3 linked regions of the Saccharomyces cerevisiae S288C genome follow. Changing the gene in region 2 together with the main gene of any one other region gives a genetic interaction. Each region holds a gene or a part of one and is shown on either strand. Other genes may lie near its edges.

Region 1 (5,904 bases), on a different chromosome or scaffold from region 2:
CTTCATCTGCCATCGCCTTTCTATGTTTTCCGTATTTCTTCCCCGCAAGTTCTTTAAACTCAGATAGTATTAGAATCGATAATTAAGGCCAGGTCAAAGTTCGTATTAATTTCAACCTTTGGGCACCTATATTGGATTAATTTCCGTAAGATAATATATGAGAGCACTATCATGGAGTGATGAAGAAAAATTCAAACTCTAGGGGCAAACCGTTTGTTACGATTGCTCAAAAATTACTGCGTCTGAAGCCAGAATTGTAGGTATATACGAAAAGGTACAACTTGGGATACTATTGACGGCGGTAAGATAAGTGAATCCTACCTTTCGTTTTGAGCCGCTCAAATAAGACCTGATACAAAAACGGTTGTTTAATCTTTGTATAGTTTCTTCTGTAGAAGAGTTATGAAAATATACACTTAAACTATAACGATAAGAAAATGCGAAAGGAAAATGATGAAATCGAAAGCATTCACAATTTCCCCTTGGAAGCATTGGGTAAATTACCAACCTACGTATCCTCTCGCAACAATTCTGAAAACCTTTAACTTCCCACTTTTCATATGGCTTAGCTTGTAGCTGTTTTGAATAATCTTTCCCTCGTGATTTTCGATAACTCTAAACTTATTCTTTGTAAAATCATAATCAGTAACAACACTCGAATACGGAGCGGCGGAGTCCATTCCAACGTTGATAATTTCGTTTTTTCCGATCTTTTTATGAGCTTCAAATTTGGCCTTTCTAATTACAAGAATGTCACCTGGTTTAATCTTCTGTAAGCTCTTCATCAACTGTTCGATTCCTTCTTCAGGTTTATAACTCAATATAGTTGCGCCAAACGTTCTTGCTCCTATGGGTTGTATAACTTCGTCTTTGAATTCGGATACAATTTGTGACACGAAATTCTTAGCCCCAATATGTGAATTTATCAATGAATGAGATTTCTCTACAACTTTCGCATTAAACCTTTGAGCGTATTCATCAAGAATACGTGCTGATTGTGTTTCGACTGGCGATGGAAAGCGTTCTTGAAGAGTCGTTACCGTTTTCTCTGGGCTTGTACTATTAAAGGTCAAGGAGAATCTTAGTTGCGAATAGTTTTCAAACAAGAAGTAAAAATCCCTTACCACCCATTTTTGATGTAATCTTTTGGAAATGAAATGATCATCGATCTCCATCAAAAAGTTCAACTTCAGATTGCTTATAGCAGGAGGTGCGCTTTTATTAATCCACCATCTTTCTTGTGCATTAAACTCTATCTTGACGTTGTTGGAAATCTCGCCTACATCATGCGTCGTTGACCTTCTTATAGAGGCCACCTTCGGTGTAGTATCTGACTCATGGAATGAATCCACAGGACGATTCGTCAATGAAGGCACATGGGGCGGTAGGGTTCGTGATTCTTTTTCTGCCCCAGATAGTACTGAGGTTGGCACACGTTGTTGCGTACTCATCATTGAAGGTGTAGAGGCCGTGACATTTTGATGTGGTGGAGGAGAAGGAGCTGTATGTGAATGAGTGGCTGTTGGTTCAGAGTCAAATTCAAAAGTAGCCGGTGGTACTGGTGGTGCACGTGGAAGTGGCGGAGCAGTATTTGGCATAGGATGATATTCCTCGGATACAGGTGGAAGGGGAGCAGATGACTTGACATGTTCTTCTACTTCATTGTGTTTAGGCAGCGCAAGAGGCGCTGGAGGTGCTGGAGGTGCTGGAGGTGTTGGAGGTACTGGAGGTATTGAAGGTGCTGAGAGTGCTGGAGGTGCTGAAGATACTGGAGGTACTGGGGGTACTGGGGGTACTGAAGGTGCAGAGAGTGCTGGAGGTGCTGGAGGTACTGGAGGTGCAGAGGGTACTGAAGGTGCAGAGGGTACTGGAGGTGCAGAGGGTGCAGAAGGCACTGGGTGAGGTGGCACCTTGTCCTCAGGATGTGACACCTTACTTAGAACTGGAGCTGCTGGAGCTGCCATCGAAATATCTTGAGCGGTTTCTGTTAATGCAGATGAATTAGTGGAAACTGTATCATGATACTCGTTTATGGATTTCCGCCGATTTTCCCCTGAAATGGATTTAGTCAAAGAATTTATCGACCCGTTGCGAGCAACTCTTGTTTGTGGGGAAGAGACAGGCAAAACATTTCCAGTTGTGTTTTGTGATGAATTTTCAATATCATGTGATACTTCTGCAGTACGGTGGGAGATTGGTGGTTCTTGAGGGTAAATTTTTTCTCCGGAATTAACATTCTCTGACTCATTATTACCTATCTGAAAAGCTTGCTCCACCATCGAATGCTTTCTCAACCCATCGTTTGCATCCTCAAACTCGTGGTCGTCAGTATCTTCATCAGAATCATGGTCAGAGTATTCGGGATGTGCATTATCAACAGCAGCTAAATTGTGATAGGCGTGTGTACCATGTTCTTGCTTCTGTTCATGCTCTGTGGTTGCATGAGGATCTAGCGTCTTTGTTTCAGTGGGTTGATTCTTCTCACTTAGATTTGATTTCCTAAAAAATGGGTTAGAACTTGGGTCAACAAATGGCATAACAGGTATGGCACGAGGTAGTTCTTGGAGCTGTTCAGGTTCCTCCTCCTCCTTCTCCTTATGCTGTTTCTTTTTCGGCTCTTCTGATGGTTTATTTCCAACTCCAGAAGCCATACCGAAGGGGTTAAAACCAACAGGAGCACCGAATCTACTAGCGCCAGATAGTTTAGCCATTCTTTCTCTCAATGCGGCCCTACGATTCTCTTCACTATCTTCCTCTTCTTTTTCCTCATCATTATCTCCCTCTCTGTCTTCATGGCCGTAACCTATTTCGCTTTCCTCAGCAACATTTTCTCCTCTTGCCTCGTCTGCTTGTGACTCCTCAACTTTCTGATTTTCCTTTGTGTACTCATCTAAAAATTGTTCTTTCTCTATGTCATTCGTGCCTTCATCTGCTTCGCGTGAGGTTTTAGTAATCTCTTTATGTGCCAATAATTCCATTTGCGGTTCCTCGTTGTGCTCAGTTTCAGGCGTAAATTCAGGTTTCGGTTCAGTTTTTTCATTTTCTTCTGCTTCTTCAGTTTCCGTATAGGGCTCATTCTTGTTAACCGCACTACGTTCATGTTCTTGTTCGAGCTTAGCCTTTTTTCTCAAGAGTTCTTCTTCTCTTGCAGCCTGTAATCTTTGTTGCTCCTGTAAAAGAGCAATTCTTTCTTTAAGGCTCATCTGGGGCAAATCCTTCTTTAATTGGTCATTCTCAGTTTCTATTCTTCCACTTTCCACCTGTGCACGATTAATTGGTTCGGGAACAATCTTTTTTTCGTTTTCCTTTAGGGACTTTTTCCTTTCAAGATTGGACGTATCATTTGTTGGAATTCCAGGGGGGACATAGTATTTAGGAGCATCTGCCACAATTGTTTTTTTCACAGGTATGTTTTCTAAATCCAAGTGAGTTGATTTTGGTAAAGGAACTTGCTCCGTTATATCTTGATTAAACATAGATAAGCGAGCCTTCAATTTTGGAGAATCCATGGGAACTTTTCTTTCGCCATTACCACTACTACTATCATGCTGGACCTGTGCTGATACTGCTGTAGCGGCTGGAACTGGCACTGTAGCGGCTGGAACTGGCACTGTAGCGGCTGGAACTGGCACTGGCCCGGACAGAGTTTCTTTCTTCGTTTCAGGGGAAATGGGCTCTGGTAGGTCCTTTTGTTCTACTTCCGGCTGGATTGTACGTTGCTCAGTGGAACCGGTATTCGGAGATGATTCGGCTTCCTTTCCAACTTCAGATCCCTGAACAGCAACAAAACTTTTCGGGAAGATACCCTCAATAACGTCGCCATTTGAATCCTGGTATTCACCAAAGTACCATTCGGCGTCTTCAACAGACGTAACAATAATCTCTTGATCTTTTTCAAAATTTAAATCGTCCTCGTAATCGGACTTGTATGGGAACTGAGCCACCACCTTGAAGGGCACTTCGGGTTCACTCATCCTTAGTTTGGGTAAGACTGTGTTTACTTCTAGTAGCTCTTGCAGTTGGGACGCGATTGATGTTTACTACCGACTTGACGCTACTGTTTCACAGTGTGCTAGTAAATACCACTTCTAGTTGAAGTCTTAAGGAGATTATAATTCTGGAGGTAAAATAGGGGCATTGTAGACCTCTAACTATTTTCAGGGTATATTCCTATATTATATAGGTTTATTCTTAAAATATGAGGTTTATAAATGATACACATCACTTATTGATAGGGTTATACTCTTTGATACGGGTAACATATGAGACGCGAAAATGGAATATAATGACAATGTAAATATCGTCATCTTGAGATAATTATCAACAAGGTTGTCATGAGGAGTTACAGATAAAAGTCAACAGAGTGGAGTTAGTGGTGTTTTAACTGTAGTGCTCCATAGTTTCACGGCGGTTTCTCTTGTTTTCAGTTGGTAGTAACTTTTATCCTGGAAGTGCTGGAAATGAATAACTCAAATGAGCATAGGCGGGAAGAGGCAGGAGCGGCTAATGAACAAATGCCTTACAATAAGGCTGTAAAGTCCGCGTATGCAGATGTCCTCAAGGACAAAATGAATAGGGAACAGGAGATTAGCCTACGAGCCATCAAAAAAGGGATATACACCGATGGCGGTGAAACTGACAACTATGATATGGATAAAGAGAATGATTCCGCGTACGAAATGTTCAAAAAAAATCTTGATTTTCCGTTAGACCAACATAATGATGACGACGATGATGATCCGTACATTGAGGATAATGGACAAGAGACCGACGGATATAGCGACGAGGACTATACAGATGAGGCAGACAAGAGTTTTATAGAAGACAGCGATTCCGACAGCTACGATTTGGAAAGTAATTCTGACTTTGAAGAGAACTTGGAAAGTTCAGGTGAAGCTAAGAAGTTGAAGTGGCGGACGTACATTTTCTATGGAGGCCTTTTCTTCGTTTTTTATTTTTTTGGATCTTTTTTGATGACAACCGTGAAAAATAATGATTTAGAAAGCCATTCATCCGGCGCTACATCCTCTCCAGGCAAATCATTCAGCAACCTACAAAAACAGGTGAATCATTTATATAGTGAGTTGAGTAAGCGGGACGAAAAGCACAGTTCAGAATTGGATAAAACAGTAAAAATCATTGTCTCTCAATTTGAAAAGAATATTAAAAGACTTTTACCCTCAAATTTGGTTAATTTTGAAAATGACATTAACTCGCTGACAAAACAGGTTGAGACAATTTCAACTTCCATGAGTGAGTTACAGAGGCGAAATCACAAATTTACGGTCGAGAATGTTACTCAATGGCAAGATCAACTGGTAAAACAGTTGGATACACACCTCCCTCAAGAAATACCCGTTGTAATTAATAATTCTTCGTCGCTTTTAATAATCCCTGAATTGCACAATTATTTGAGTGCTTTGATTTCAGACGTTATTGAGTCTCCAGGCATTGGTACTGCTGGAAGCGCTGAAAGTCGTTGGGAGTATGATTTGAATCGCTATGTAAAGGAAATTCTTTCGAATGAGTTGCAATATATCGATAAGGATTATTTCATCCAAGAAATGAACAGAAGGTTGCAATCTAACAAACAGGAGATTTGGGAAGAGATCACAAATAGGTTAGAGACACAGCAGCAGCAGCAGCAGCAGCAGGTTCAACAGGATTATTCTAACGTGCCACAGCAGTATTCGAGCATATTAATGAAAAGATTAATTCACCAAATTTACAATTCCAATCAACACCAATGGGAGGACGATTTAGATTTTGCTACTTATGTTCAAGGTACTAAACTATTGAACCATTTAACTTCACCAACCTGGAGACAGGGCAGTGGGGTACAGCCGATAGAATTACTGACCGACTCCAAACAAAGCTCCTCAACTTACTGGCAATGTGAGAACG
Region 2 (9,474 bases):
ATAAATGGACTAAGGATCTGGGTTGTTGGTCGTTATATAAATAATAAGCTTATACCCCTTCCTTTGGACAAGTTTTTTCCCTCATAATTACGTCTATATTTTATAAATATCATTGTAGTATTCGCATTGTTTAAGTGGTTACCATTTGAAACGACTCATACAGACAAGCGGTTACAGATGAAGCTTTCTGAAGGCACAGATCAGAAGTATTTTAATGTCGGTTGTCTATTAGTGGAACCAAAGTGACTACACACCTCCTCTGTCTGGAAGAAATAAATTCTTAGGGTCGACTCCACCATTTCAACTTTAGTATAATATGACAATAAAACATTATTGGGACTGAGAACGATTATATTAAAATTAGTAAAATACATACATAACTACTTATAAAAAAAAAAAGAGAAATTTGCCATTTTCACGAGTATAAGCACAGATTGTACGAAACTATTTCATATAGCTTGTTTTAGTTATTATCCTATAAAATCTTAAAATACATTAATCTAGAATCCAAACGGATTTGATGCAGTAGCATTGAATATGTTGGCTTGCCTTGATTGTTGAGGTCCATTACCAAACCCAAATCCAGTAGGTTGGTTCTGTAATGCTTGTTGTTGTGGTTGTTGCATAGCACCCCCAGTGTTAAAAGTGTTCATCATCTGTGGTTGTTGCATAATTCCATCGGTGTTGAATGTGTTCATCATCTGTGGTTGTTGCATAGCACCACCAGTATTGAAAGTAGTCATCATTTGGAGCTCTTGCATAACACCACCAGTATTGAAGGTATTCATCGTTTGTGGTTGCTGTTGTTGAAGAACGCCCCCTGTACTTAAAGTATTCATGGCTCCACCAGTGAACTGGTTCTGGTTTAATGGCGCAATACCTCCGGTTTTTTGTAAAGTCAAACCGAATTGGGATTGCGGCCGGAACCCGCCAGTGTTTTGAGCTTGAGAGCTGAACGAAGTCTGGGGAATCATGGCGCCTCCAGTATTAAATGTATTCAAAGCACCACCAGTTCTCTGCAAAGGCATCATTGCTCCCCCTGTAACTTGTGGTAAAGCATTGAAGGACGTTTGAGGCATCATTGCTCCTCCAGTAATTTGTGGTACAGCATTGAAGGATGTTTGAGGCATCATGGCACTCCCTGTATTTTGAGGTTGGGTCATCATTGCACCACCTGTTAATTGCTGTGAAACGCCAAATGATGTTTGTGGAATCATAGTGCCGCCTGTTCTTTGTACAGTTGGCATTGAGACACCAGTATTAGCTGAAATTAATCCATTAGCAGTTTTTTGGACAGGTAATATTGAACCTGTTGGAAGTTGTTGTTGCCCCTGAACATTGAATGAAGTTTGCGGGAATTGCGCACCTCCTGTGGTGGCAATTGGTATTAGGCCACCTCCAGTTTTTTGCAGAGGTAAGACGGTAGCTGCTGCGCCGAACGTAGTTTGTGGCATCATTGCGCCGCCAGTGTTAGAGATAGGAATTAACCCATTTCCTGTCTTTTGAACAGGTAGGATACCACCAGTAACTTGCGATTGCATACCAAAAGTTGTTTGTGGTACAACGAAGCCGCCGGTTCTTTGCATAGGCAGCATATCGCCCCCAGTAATCATTGGCATCATCACAAAGCCAGTAGATAAGGGTAAGATATTGTTGCCACCGGTTTTGAATGGATCCAATGGAGCGGGAGCAGATGAAACCGGAGCAGATGAAACCGGAGCAGCAGGAACAGTGGTGCCGCCAGTTTTCACGGGTTCCAAATCTTTTAGGTTTGGTTCAGGTGTCGAGGCAGCTGCCTTTTTAGGTTCTAAAGGTTGCAAGTCTAATAAATCCTGCATGGAACCAGTAAATTCTGATTTCTTAGAGAGTAAATTAGATTCAGACTTAGAAGCCGGTTTAACAGTCCAAGCATCATCTGTCTCAGCTGATGTGGAAGGAGCTGTTTGAGCAGGACTTGTTGTTTGTGGCAACAATTGCTGAGGCAGTGAGGTTTCCGGACTTGTAGCAACGTTCAATGAACCATCAGGTTGTGAAAACATATTTCCAGTGGCATTTGTAGGAATTGATGCAATATTTTCTCTTCCAAATTTCTTGTCAAGATGTTTCATTACTCTAACAATATCACCTTCGCGCAGACCCAAGGTTCTTAACATTGAGTTATTGATGTCAGGCATCATGTCTTCAGTAAGCTGTTCTCTATCAAAATTTATTGTATATCTTTGACAATTGCTTACATCAACGCCGCAATTCAAGAAAAATTCGAACCAATCATATTTGTTACTGGAGTTGTTGTTATTGCTGCTTTCGGCTGGTGGTACGGACGTCGTATTTGGAACGGAGGTAGTAGAGGTTGGTCTTGGTGGTTTTATTGGAGGCAATTCCTTTTCTTGCAACCTTGATCTTTCTTCATCTAGGAGTTCTCTGGCTTTTTTCAATTCGTATAATTCACGCTCTTTCAATCTCCTATCGCGTTCTTTTTCCTCCTGCTCCTTCAATCTCCTTCTTCTTTCTCTTTCAGAGTCTCTTGAATCAGTGCCACGGGAACTAGACCCATCATTCGCCTTAAATTTCTCTAAGGAGAACCCAGTAATTTTTTCCACATACGCTAAATCTTCATTGGATAGTTTATCAGCGGCGACAGCAATCTTGACACCATTAGCCTTGTGCAAGTGGATTTTCCCCTTAGCACATCCAATGAATTCTGCATCCACTTTGAAAGTACCACTTCTATCAACCCATAGACGCGATTTTTTTGGATTGGGGAAATCTTTGGTCGCCGAAGAGTTTTTTTTGTGAGAGGACAATGAACTTTTTCTTGACCTTTTACCGGCAGCACTACCTACAACATCGTTTTGTAGTTCATCATCTTTCCAACTGGCATTGGCATTGGATTTAGATCTTGATCTAGATCTCGACCTAGATGGAGATTTGGTGAAGTTTTTCTTGATAGACTTGATGATACCGCTTGCTGTAGATTCAGTATGTTTTTTGTCACGAACAGGCTCAATAAACTGTGCAGGAACGAGACCGCTTTTCCCTGAATCAACCAGTTGGCACATCCACCAGTCCTTAGATTTTTTATCATCTAAAATGTAGACTTTATCGCCTGATTTTATGGTTAATTCGTCCTGTGATTCAGCCATGAAGTCATATTGAACAATACCTCTCTTTTTGGATTTGGAAGCCATTTCGACTTCTCTCAACCCAGGATCACGGGAAGCACCTTTATATTCACCAATAATGTTCATGATCTCTTCACATGTGGTGGTATTACCAGTGTGTAATTCAAGGCTTCTATATGGATCAACAAATTCCAAGAACATGTGTTTCTTTTCGTTATCATAAGAGACCAATTTATCAATTGACCACTCATGAGGAGTCCCCTTTTGGGGTATGAAGTTTATCTTGTTGTTACCGATTGATAGCTTGGCCTTCTTCTTTTTCCTTCCCTCGATTTCGGTAACGTTCCAAGAGTGATACTCTGTATTGTATTCGTGATTTCCAACGTTGTTGCTGTTGCTGTTGTAATAGTAATCATCCTCTTCATCGTCATTATCGTTATCGCTGTATGATAGTCTTGTACGAGATCGAACAGCCGCAGCGGTGGCATCAGTAGTTTCGGTAGTAGCCGTTGGTCTTGCAGGCATGGCAGGAGGAGGGCCCTCTTCATCCTCATCTGGAGCTTGGTCTTCTTTACTTTGCATCATACGAGCTCTATCATTGTGTTGAGGAGGTGGTAAAAAGTTGGTGGGTAGTACGGCAGCAGAAGCAGGAGCGGCTGCAGGAGTAGCTGCAGGAGCTTCAGCGGCAGCGGGAGCCTGTTCCTGCTTGGAAGTGGACCCATTCTCTGGTTCGACGTAATTGCCTGGAATGAAGCCGAATTCATTGGAAACGGTAGACTTAACCAACAGCCAATCAGCATCTTTATCATCGAATACATCAAAAACGTCATTTTCATGAAACGTCAATTCTTCATCAGCATTTTGCACCTGTTCATAATCATAAATGGCTCTTACCTTCTTCAAAACAGGAGCTTCTTCAATGTAAGTGGAGGGCACTAGACCCACCGGTTCTTCGCTATCGGAACCAATGACTCTTTTCTTTACTGTCCACCAATCGTCAATGTCTGACTTCTGTAAGAGGTACAACAGATCGTCTTCTTGGATGGCCAGTTCTTCTGGTGTCTGCGGCTCATAGGCATAGACGGCCCTATAGATGCCCAGAAACACAGTCATACTCTAGCTCTTTTGTATATAACACACTCTGTCGCCTTGGCTATGTTACACTATCCCTTCTTTTAGGATTGCAATAGATATACATAGTATATATGCGCTAAATATTCGTTCTGTTTTCGTCTGATGTATCTCGATTTCGCATGAGTGGAAGGAAGCCCCTTTTAGGAATCGTATAGTCACTTTCTACGAAGCAACATTCTACCTCTATCAATTACATGGTTTAATCTACGCAGGCATGTTCTCTAAGTTGAGACCGCCTATGGGAACCTATAAATCGTGATTGACACCGTTTGCATATTATCACTTTTCTTTTCCTTTTAGCCTCGCTATTCCTGGGGCTCTCTATGTGTGATTGGAAGGGTAGAGACAATTGTCCTGCGCCGGCAAGAAAAACATCGTGTGTCTCTAGAGCAGCTTTGCATTCTAATGTGCGGTGGAAATGGTGCGAAAAGTCGACACTTGACAGGGCTTCCAACTGCTGGCGTGGCACATAACTGCCCAGCAGTGAATGGCCTACTTCATACTCCACCTGTGCCGCATCGGCGAGCGACACTTTACCGCCTAGGTAACCATGTACAGCTACTCTTTTGGGCTTGGATACCTTCGCTTTACTATTCTCACTGCCCTCTATGCCCTTGTCGGTAGCATGAGATTGTTGCGTAAGCTGTTGAAGCTCAGTCGCACTGAACACTACCTGGGATGACTTTTCCAGCGCTGAAAGCCCTGCGAGTACGTCATAGTATCCCATATTACTTCCACTCATTCTCAGCTATTCCTTGTTAACACCGTGCTCTGCTGCTTTCAGGTAAAGCCATTATTTCCACGACAACTGCATTTCACTTTTCATTTTCTTCCAGAACAACAGGCGCTGCCCTTGTTTCCGCGGAGCTGCCTCCTCTGCCGCTCGGACTTTCCGCGGAATAATAAATGAACTATCACAGTGAGTCTTAGAATGCAAATATGTAGATACTGTTATAGAATCTCATTAATGTATTTATGTATTTCCTGTGTTTGTGTCTTCAGGAGCCTTCCAAAGCAACCATAGGTCTTAGGCGACAACTGCATCAGCAGTTTTATTAATTTTTTCTTATTGCGTGACCGCAATGAAAGTGAAGAAATCAACTAGATCAAAAGTTTCGACAGCATGTGTCAATTGCAGAAAAAGGAAAATCAAATGCACAGGTAAATATCCATGTACCAACTGCATTTCTTACGATTGTACGTGTGTATTCCTAAAAAAACATTTACCGCAGAAGGAGGATAGTTCCCAGTCTTTGCCTACTACAGCTGTTGCTCCACCCTCTTCCCACGCCAATGTAGAGGCTTCAGCAGATGTACAGCATCTGGACACTGCGATTAAGCTAGATAATCAATATTACTTCAAACTGATGAACGACCTGATACAGACTCCAGTCTCTCCGAGTGCGACGCATGCTCCTGATACTTCCAATAATCCTACTAATGATAATAATATTCTCTTTAAAGATGATTCCAAATATCAAAATCAACTGGTTACGTATCAAAATATTCTGACAAATTTGTACGCTCTGCCGCCTTGTGATGACACTCAGCTCTTGATTGATAAAACGAAGTCGCAGTTGAATAACCTGATTAACAGTTGGAATCCCGAAATAAACTACCCCAAGCTTTCCAGTTTCTCTCCTCGCCCACAAAGATCGATAGAAACGTATCTTTTAACCAACAAGTATAGAAATAAAATACACATGACGAGGTTCTCCTTTTGGACAGACCAAATGGTTAAATCACAAAGTCCAGATTCATTTCTAGCCACCACTCCACTAGTAGATGAAGTATTTGGTCTTTTCTCTCCAATACAGGCTTTTTCACTAAGAGGTATAGGATATTTAATTAAAAAAAATATCGAAAACACGGGTTCATCGATGTTAATAGATACAAAGGAAACTATTTATCTAATATTAAGATTGTTTGATTTGTGTTATGAACATTTGATCCAAGGTTGCATCTCTATTTCTAATCCATTAGAGAACTATCTTCAAAAAATAAAGCAAACTCCTACTACGACGGCATCTGCTAGTTTGCCTACTTCCCCAGCACCTTTATCTAACGATTTAGTCATTTCTGTTATTCATCAACTACCTCAGCCATTTATACAATCGATTACCGGGTTTACGACTACTCAATTGATAGAAAATTTACATGATTCATTTTCGATGTTTCGAATAGTTACTCAAATGTATGCTCAACATAGGAAGCGCTTTGCGGAATTTTTAAACCAAGCTTTCTCCTTGCCCCATCAAGAAAAGAGTGTTTTATTCTCGTCATTCTGCTCATCAGAATATCTTCTATCTACTCTTTGTTACGCATACTACAATGTTACCCTATATCACATGTTGGACATAAACACTTTAGATTACCTAGAGATTTTAGTGTCATTGCTAGAAATCCAAAATGAAATTGATGAGCGTTTTGGATTTGAAAAAATGCTAGAAGTTGCGGTTACATGCTCCACTAAGATGGGATTGTCTCGTTGGGAGTATTATGTTGGAATAGACGAAAATACTGCCGAACGGAGAAGAAAAATATGGTGGAAAATATACAGTCTGGAAAAGCGTTTTTTAACTGATCTTGGTGATTTATCCTTAATAAATGAACATCAAATGAATTGTCTCTTGCCGAAGGATTTCAGGGACATGGGATTCATTAACCATAAAGAATTTTTAACGAAAATTGGTACGTCCTCTTTATCACCGTCATCGCCCAAGCTAAAAAACTTGTCATTGTCCAGGCTTATTGAATATGGTGAGTTAGCGATAGCCCAAATTGTTGGAGATTTTTTTTCAGAGACTCTTTATAATGAGAAATTCACGTCTTTAGAAGTATCCGTTAAACCCACAATTATCAGACAAAAGTTATTGGAGAAAGTTTTTGAGGACATTGAATCTTTTAGGTTAAAATTGGCCAAAATAAAGCTTCACACCTCAAGAGTTTTTCAAGTAGCTCACTGCAAATATCCAGAATATCCAAAAAACGATCTAATTGAAGCAGCTAAATTTGTAAGTTACCATAAAAATACATGGTTCTCCATCTTGGGTGCTGTTAACAATCTTATTGCTAGGCTATCTGAAGATCCAGAGGTGATAACTGAGCAAAGCATGAAATATGCGAATGAAATGTTTCAAGAATGGAGGGAAATTAATCAATTCTTAATACAGGTTGATACTGATTTTATTGTTTGGGCATGTTTGGACTTTTATGAACTGATATTTTTCGTGATGGCTTCAAAATTTTATGTGGAAGACCCGCACATCACTTTAGAGGATGTTATCAACACTTTGAAAGTTTTTAAGAGAATAACTAACATTATTTCTTTTTTTAATAATAATTTGGACGAGAAGGATTATGATTGTCAAACTTTCAGGGAGTTTTCGAGAAGTTCGAGTTTGGTTGCCATATCCATAAGAATCATATTTTTAAAATACTGCTATGCCGAACAAATTGATAGAGCCGAATTCATCGAACGTTTGAAAGAAGTTGAACCGGGTCTAAGTGACCTTTTGCGTGAGTTTTTTGATACCCGCTCTTTTATTTACAGGTACATGTTGAAATCCGTTGAAAAATCAGGCTTTCATTTAATAATTAGAAAAATGTTAGAAAGCGACTATAAATTTTTGTATAGAGACAAATTGGCCACTGGTAATATTCCAGACCAAGGAAATTCAAGCCAAATTTCTCAGTTGTATGACAGTACTGCTCCTTCATACAACAATGCTTCTGCCTCAGCAGCAAACTCACCGTTGAAGTTATCGTCTTTGTTGAACTCTGGAGAGGAATCGTACACTCAAGACGCATCAGAAAATGTTCCATGTAATCTGCGGCATCAAGATCGATCGTTACAACAGACAAAAAGACAACATTCTGCGCCTAGCCAAATAAGCGCTAATGAGAATAATATATACAACTTGGGTACTTTAGAGGAGTTTGTCAGCAGTGGTGACCTGACTGATTTATATCATACTCTGTGGAATGACAATACTTCATATCCCTTCTTATGAAAACGCAAAGAAAATAGGGAAGCAGAGCATAACCATAGTAAATGGGACACTTATAACTCAAGAATTTAATTGACCCCCTACTCATACTGAGGAATGTGGCGTCCTCGTCATTATATGTTCGTAAGCTAATTGGGCGAAACTTTAGTCTGTCCTTTCTGTTCGGTCTTCACATAAGATCAACGATTTCTTCATTAATTTTGGGCGCGCTGTTCAAAAAGGTCCTGGAATGCAGCTGTTCAGTAGATATTATATGTAATTATAGCCTCAACAATTTTTCTTGGATCGATTGGATGAGCTATTCACCCATAGAGGCTGGATTTTCCTTAGTTTGAGAATCTGCGACTCCTTCGCGTCTGACATCGGTCACTACGCTTTCTCTATTCTGCTGCCGTTGCGTTACTTTGATAAATTCATTTCTTTTTTTTTGTAATACAGAAGAATTTCTGGTAAGTTTTTGGCCTGTGCGTGTTCATAAGGGAAAGACATTGCGCATATAGGAAAATGTTAGAAGTTCAACATCGATAAAATGATATTGTGTAGAAACACCGATTCCCTTTTGTAGATTTCTATATCTTTGGGTATGACTTCTAGTATTATCTGTATATCTAATATTATAGTCTCTAACAACAGTGGAATTGTTGGAATAAAAATCCACTATCGTCTATCAACTAATAGTTATATTATCAATATATTATCATATACGGTGTTAAGATGATGACATAAGTTATGAGAAGCTGTCATCGAAGTTAGAGGAAGCTGAAGTGCAAGGATTGATAATGTAATAGGATAATGAAACATATAAAACGGAATGAGGAATAATCGTAATATTAGTATGTAGAAATATAGATTCCATTTTGAGGATTCCTATATCCTTGAGGAGAACTTCTAGTGTATATTCTGTATACCTAATATTATAGCCTTTATCAACAATGGAATCCCAACAATTATCTCAACATTCCCCGATTTTTCATGGTAGCGCCTGTGCTTCGGTTACTTCTAAAGAAGTCCAAACAACTCAAGATCCGTTAGACATTTCAGCTTCCAAAACAGAAGAATGTGAGAAGGTTTCCACTCAGGCTAATTCTCAACAGCCAACAACACCTCCCTCATCTGCTGTTCCAGAGAACCATCATCATGCCTCTCCTCAAGCTGCTCAAGTACCATTGCCACAAAATGGGCCGTACCCACAGCAGCGCATGATGAAT
Region 3 (3,929 bases), on a different chromosome or scaffold from region 2:
CTTCCATTGTACTGAATTTAATTCAGCTTTATATATCTACTGGGAGACTCTTCATGCATTTCTTAATCTTAACGTTCCATTGTAGCTTAAAACTGGTCTCTAACAAATCTATACATAGACTAGAAGTAAATCCGAAATAGTGAGCATAAGGAAAGCACCATGTACCATACACTTCTGGTAAACACCTGATGCGATTCTAAAACAGCATTATGGTTGTAGTAAGTATCAGATCTGTATGCGATGCAGGAGTGCAATAAGTTTGTTTCAGTGTTGTTTTATGTTCGAGGTTTTGACAACGCCGTACGGGCACACCGTCTGTTGAAAAATAATACTGTAGAGGAGTCATATAAACGCTTGAAACAAAGAAGGACAAGGCAAAATAATTTGTTCATTTTACTGAAAGGGAAGGCTCGTGAAAGTATCTATACAAAAGCTTTAACGTCTCTGTAAGTATTTTTTTACGTAAGAATAATATAATAGCATGACGCTGACGTGTGATTCTAGTTGCCCAAAGACACATAATTGCTGGGGAAGAGACCTTTTGAGCCGTCTTTCTCTAGTTCCCCTAGCCACCAGTCATCGTCGACAAATTCAATATTGATAATCTTGTCATTTTCCACAAAGGTCAGTTCGTTATCTTCTGCAGCATCGTAATCATATTCTGCTGTGGCCCAAGGATTTTCCTTTGGCTTTTTCTCTGGAGTTGCTCGTCTTGGAGGCGGAGGAGGAGCTGCAGAGCTTCTTGATGGCAGCTGTGGAGCGGCTTCCTCAGCTTCTTCTTCAATTTCTTCTTCAGGTGCTTGTTCAGGTGCTTCTTCTTGTTTTGGAGCTGGGATCGAGTTTCTAGAAGGTAAGCTTGGGGCGATCTCTTCTTGTTCAGGCTCTTCTTTTTGCACTGGTGCTCCTGACGCAACATTCCTCGAAGGCAAAGGAGGTTGAGCAGCCTCGTCTTCATCATCATCCCAGTCATCATCATTCTCTTCTGGTTCTTCCTCATTATCCGCTTCAATGTGCATACCGGGTAATGGGTTGCCGATCTTCTTGTAATCAGTCTTAGGCTGCTCGGCTTCTTCAGCTTTCACAGGTTCTTGTGGCTTGGAGAAGGGTTTTGGTGAGATAATAGTTGGTTCTGATTTCTTTGGAGGAGGAGCAAATTTGTTTTCCATTTCTTCCTCCTCTTTTTCTGAAGCGGCCAATCCTTCAAATTTTGATTTCAAATCTTTGACGTCAGGTTCACCTTCAGGCTCATCTTCTGGAACTTCAGGTTTTGGTGCCTCAGCCTTAGTTTCGGCGTTGCCGCTGTTTTGCTTTGCCTTTCTTTCGGCCCATAATTGAGCAGGTGATTTCTCGTTTCTAAAACCCTTAATGACTTTATCATCATCATTCTTTAATGAAGATTCCGTCATGGAGGGGGGTTTAGTGGTGCCCAAAAAGGAGTTAAACTCGGAGTCCCTCTTTAATTTTGATTCGTTCTTTAAATTAGCGATATCAGAACTAGGATCAATCTTGGAACCAGCAGCGGTTGGCTTTTGAACAAGACGTGGGTCCTCCTTAGCCTTTTCTTCAGCAATCACTTTTTGCAAGTCGATTTTGCCAATTGGTTTGTAAGATGATTGATTTGGTTTCAGGGGAGCCTGATCGAAGTCGCGTTCCTTTAATTCAGGCTCATTCCAATCGTCGTCGTCATTGTTGTCGTTAACACGGGAAGAAATCTTAGCAGCAGGTGCTGGGGAAGGAGTCTTGACTGGTTCCTTCTTAGAAACTGGAGCAGGGCTCTTGGAAGGTGTGAAGGATTTCTTCACGGGAGGAGTGGAAGCCTTCCCCTGTTGCTTGGAGGAAGTCTGAATAGAATAACGGGCACCGGCCGCGTTACTGATTTTCATCAACAGTTCATTTTCGTCAAGATCGTCCTCGTCTCTGGCGGTAACTTGAACGTGGTAACCCTTGAACAGATTATTAGCAACTGCAGCAAAATTGGCGGCGAAAGAGGCCCTTGTCTTCAATGGCGCAGAATCAGGACACCAACCAATGATAATAATCTTCTCAACGTCTGACCCTGGTGGGGACACACGTGCCAGTCCGTACTGGACCTTGGTTTCATCAAACAATTGCAAGAAATCGTGAAAGGAGGAACCGGTAGACTCAGGTTCGTATTCTTTTTTCGCATTGGGTGAAATAATCAACCAGGTGGTGTCAGGATCGGAGCCTCTGACAATCTTCAGGTACTCTGCGTCGATCTCTCTCGAGTGAGTAGTATAATCAATAGGTTCCAAAGCCATTGTGATTGATAGGTGTGTGCGTGTATATACGTGCGGTTATGCGATTGTTTGTTTATAGATTGAACTATCCAATATGGTATACTCCTATTATATCCTTTTTTTCTACTTTAATCGAGGTTTTCCGCATTGTGAAAAAACAAGTGGAAATAAGAGACACAAGGCCACGTGACGCACATTTATACAGAAATACATCAATGGTTGCATAGTAAAGCGAAAACAAGAGTTCCTCGAGGGCGTATGATGCTTGAAAACGATTAAAATCCTATGGAAAAGGAATGCCTTTTCCCTCCATTGCTGACGGGATATTGTGAACTATTGACTGTCTCATTTAACTTCCTAAAATAAGTGCTCTCATGGACAGAGATATCAAAGTAACGTCTAAATATTAGCTTTGTGACTACTACATTGATGCAGATGAGTGGACTAGCAGCATCTCATAATAAATAAATCAAAAATAAAGGTTCATTCTCTTTTGGTTGCTTTTTGCCTTGACGGGAAAAAGTGAAAAAAAATTGAAAATTTTTAACTTGCGATGAGCTCTAAGAGTATTCTGTATACAACAGCAAACGGTCTCAGTCAAGAAATATTTGTTATTACAGGATGGTTACGTTCAACTGTGAGGTGTGTAATGATACTGTGCCCAAGAAGAATACCGAAAAGCATTATTATAGATGTCCTAACGCGTACTATACATGCATAGATTGCTCCAAGACGTTTGAAGATGGCGTGAGTTACAAGAATCACACGTCTTGCATCAGCGAGGACGAGAAGTACCAGAAAGCGTTGTACAAGGGCAACAAGAAGCAGAAGCAGAAGCAGCAGCAGAAGCAGCAGCAGAAGCAGCACCAGCACCAGCCAGTGGCAACTCCTGCAAAGAAAGTGGAGAAGCCTGTGATCAAGAAGGCAGAGAAAGTGGAAAAGACCTCGAACGGTATCGAGCTTCACAAGGGCAAGTCGTTGTACAAAATTTTGAAAACCATGAAGGATAAAGGGGCAAAAAAGACCTTCTTGAAAAGTCTGGTTGTGGATTCTGAGGGGCAAATCAGGTATGCAAAGGAATAATCGGAATTTTATGTGTAGATATATAGACATTATGTAGCAGCTTACTCGGTTTCATCTTTTTTCTCTCTTTTCTTATTCAGGCTTTTAGCGATTTTGTTATAGAATTGGTTTAGCGACGAGAGGGGGAAACTCAACGTTTCGAAGAGGTATTCCGGTAGTTTCGACTGTAGCGAGTATAGTTCCTCGGTGGATCGCTGTTTAAGAACGGGCGCATATATGACTTCTGTGACTTGGGCCTGGCCCTTGACAAATCCGAGTTTATAGTCCATTATCGAATAATCATCGGAAGATCCCCCTGAGTGGGTGCCCTGCGAGATGTCGAACCACAACCCAGAATCATCCTCGTAGCTTTTATGTACACGTACGTTACAGAGGTACTCGTAAAGGTCCTTTATGACTTCTGAATTTTCTGCCTGTTGGGAAGTCTGAGTCTTCAGCTCCTTGACTTGTGCGTTTAGCGAGTCTATCTGCTTCTGCAGCTGTTTGATCTCGGTTGCTTTTGTATCCAGCTTCTCCGACAGTACGAAATTCTCATTTACCAAATTTGCCACTAGTAAGTCTGCGGAATCGATCTGTTGTTTCACTGAG

The links. A genetic interaction does not mean that the proteins touch.
Region 1: mutations in SLA1 (region 2) and BBC1 are lethal when combined (synthetic lethality), as found in Saccharomyces cerevisiae (6 studies listed by BioGRID, with this or other methods).
Region 3: mutations in SLA1 (region 2) and ABP1 together harm fitness more than expected from each alone (negative genetic interaction), as found in Saccharomyces cerevisiae (6 studies listed by BioGRID, with this or other methods).

The regions. Positions count from the first base shown.
Region 1 is NC_001142.9:398,437-404,340, forward strand, and holds BBC1 (Bbc1p), read right to left. Parts: upstream 3,975-5,904; coding exon 501-3,974; downstream 1-500. Other genes in the region: MPS3 (Mps3p), read left to right, coding at 4,461-5,904. UniProt on the Saccharomyces cerevisiae protein: Involved in the regulation of actin cytoskeleton.
Region 2 is NC_001134.8:212,132-221,605, forward strand, and holds SLA1 (cytoskeletal protein-binding protein SLA1), read right to left. Parts: upstream 4,236-9,474; coding exon 501-4,235; downstream 1-500. Other genes in the region: HIR1 (Hir1p), read left to right, coding at 1-44; LDB7 (Ldb7p), read right to left, coding at 4,456-4,998; drug-responsive transcription factor PDR3, read left to right, coding at 5,339-8,269; YBL005W-A (gag protein), read left to right, coding at 9,199-9,474. UniProt on the Saccharomyces cerevisiae protein: Component of the PAN1 actin cytoskeleton-regulatory complex required for the internalization of endosomes during actin-coupled endocytosis. The complex links the site of endocytosis to the cell membrane-associated actin cytoskeleton.
Region 3 is NC_001135.5:263,418-267,346, reverse strand, and holds ABP1 (Abp1p), read right to left. Parts: upstream 2,280-3,929; coding exon 501-2,279; downstream 1-500. Other genes in the region: YCR087C-A (uncharacterized protein), read left to right, coding at 2,880-3,341; CSM1 (Csm1p), read right to left, coding at 3,383-3,929. UniProt on the Saccharomyces cerevisiae protein: Regulates ARP2/3 complex-mediated actin assembly. Recruits ARP2/3 complex to sides of preexisting actin filaments, which may promote nucleation or stabilization of filament branches. Binds to actin filaments, but not actin monomers.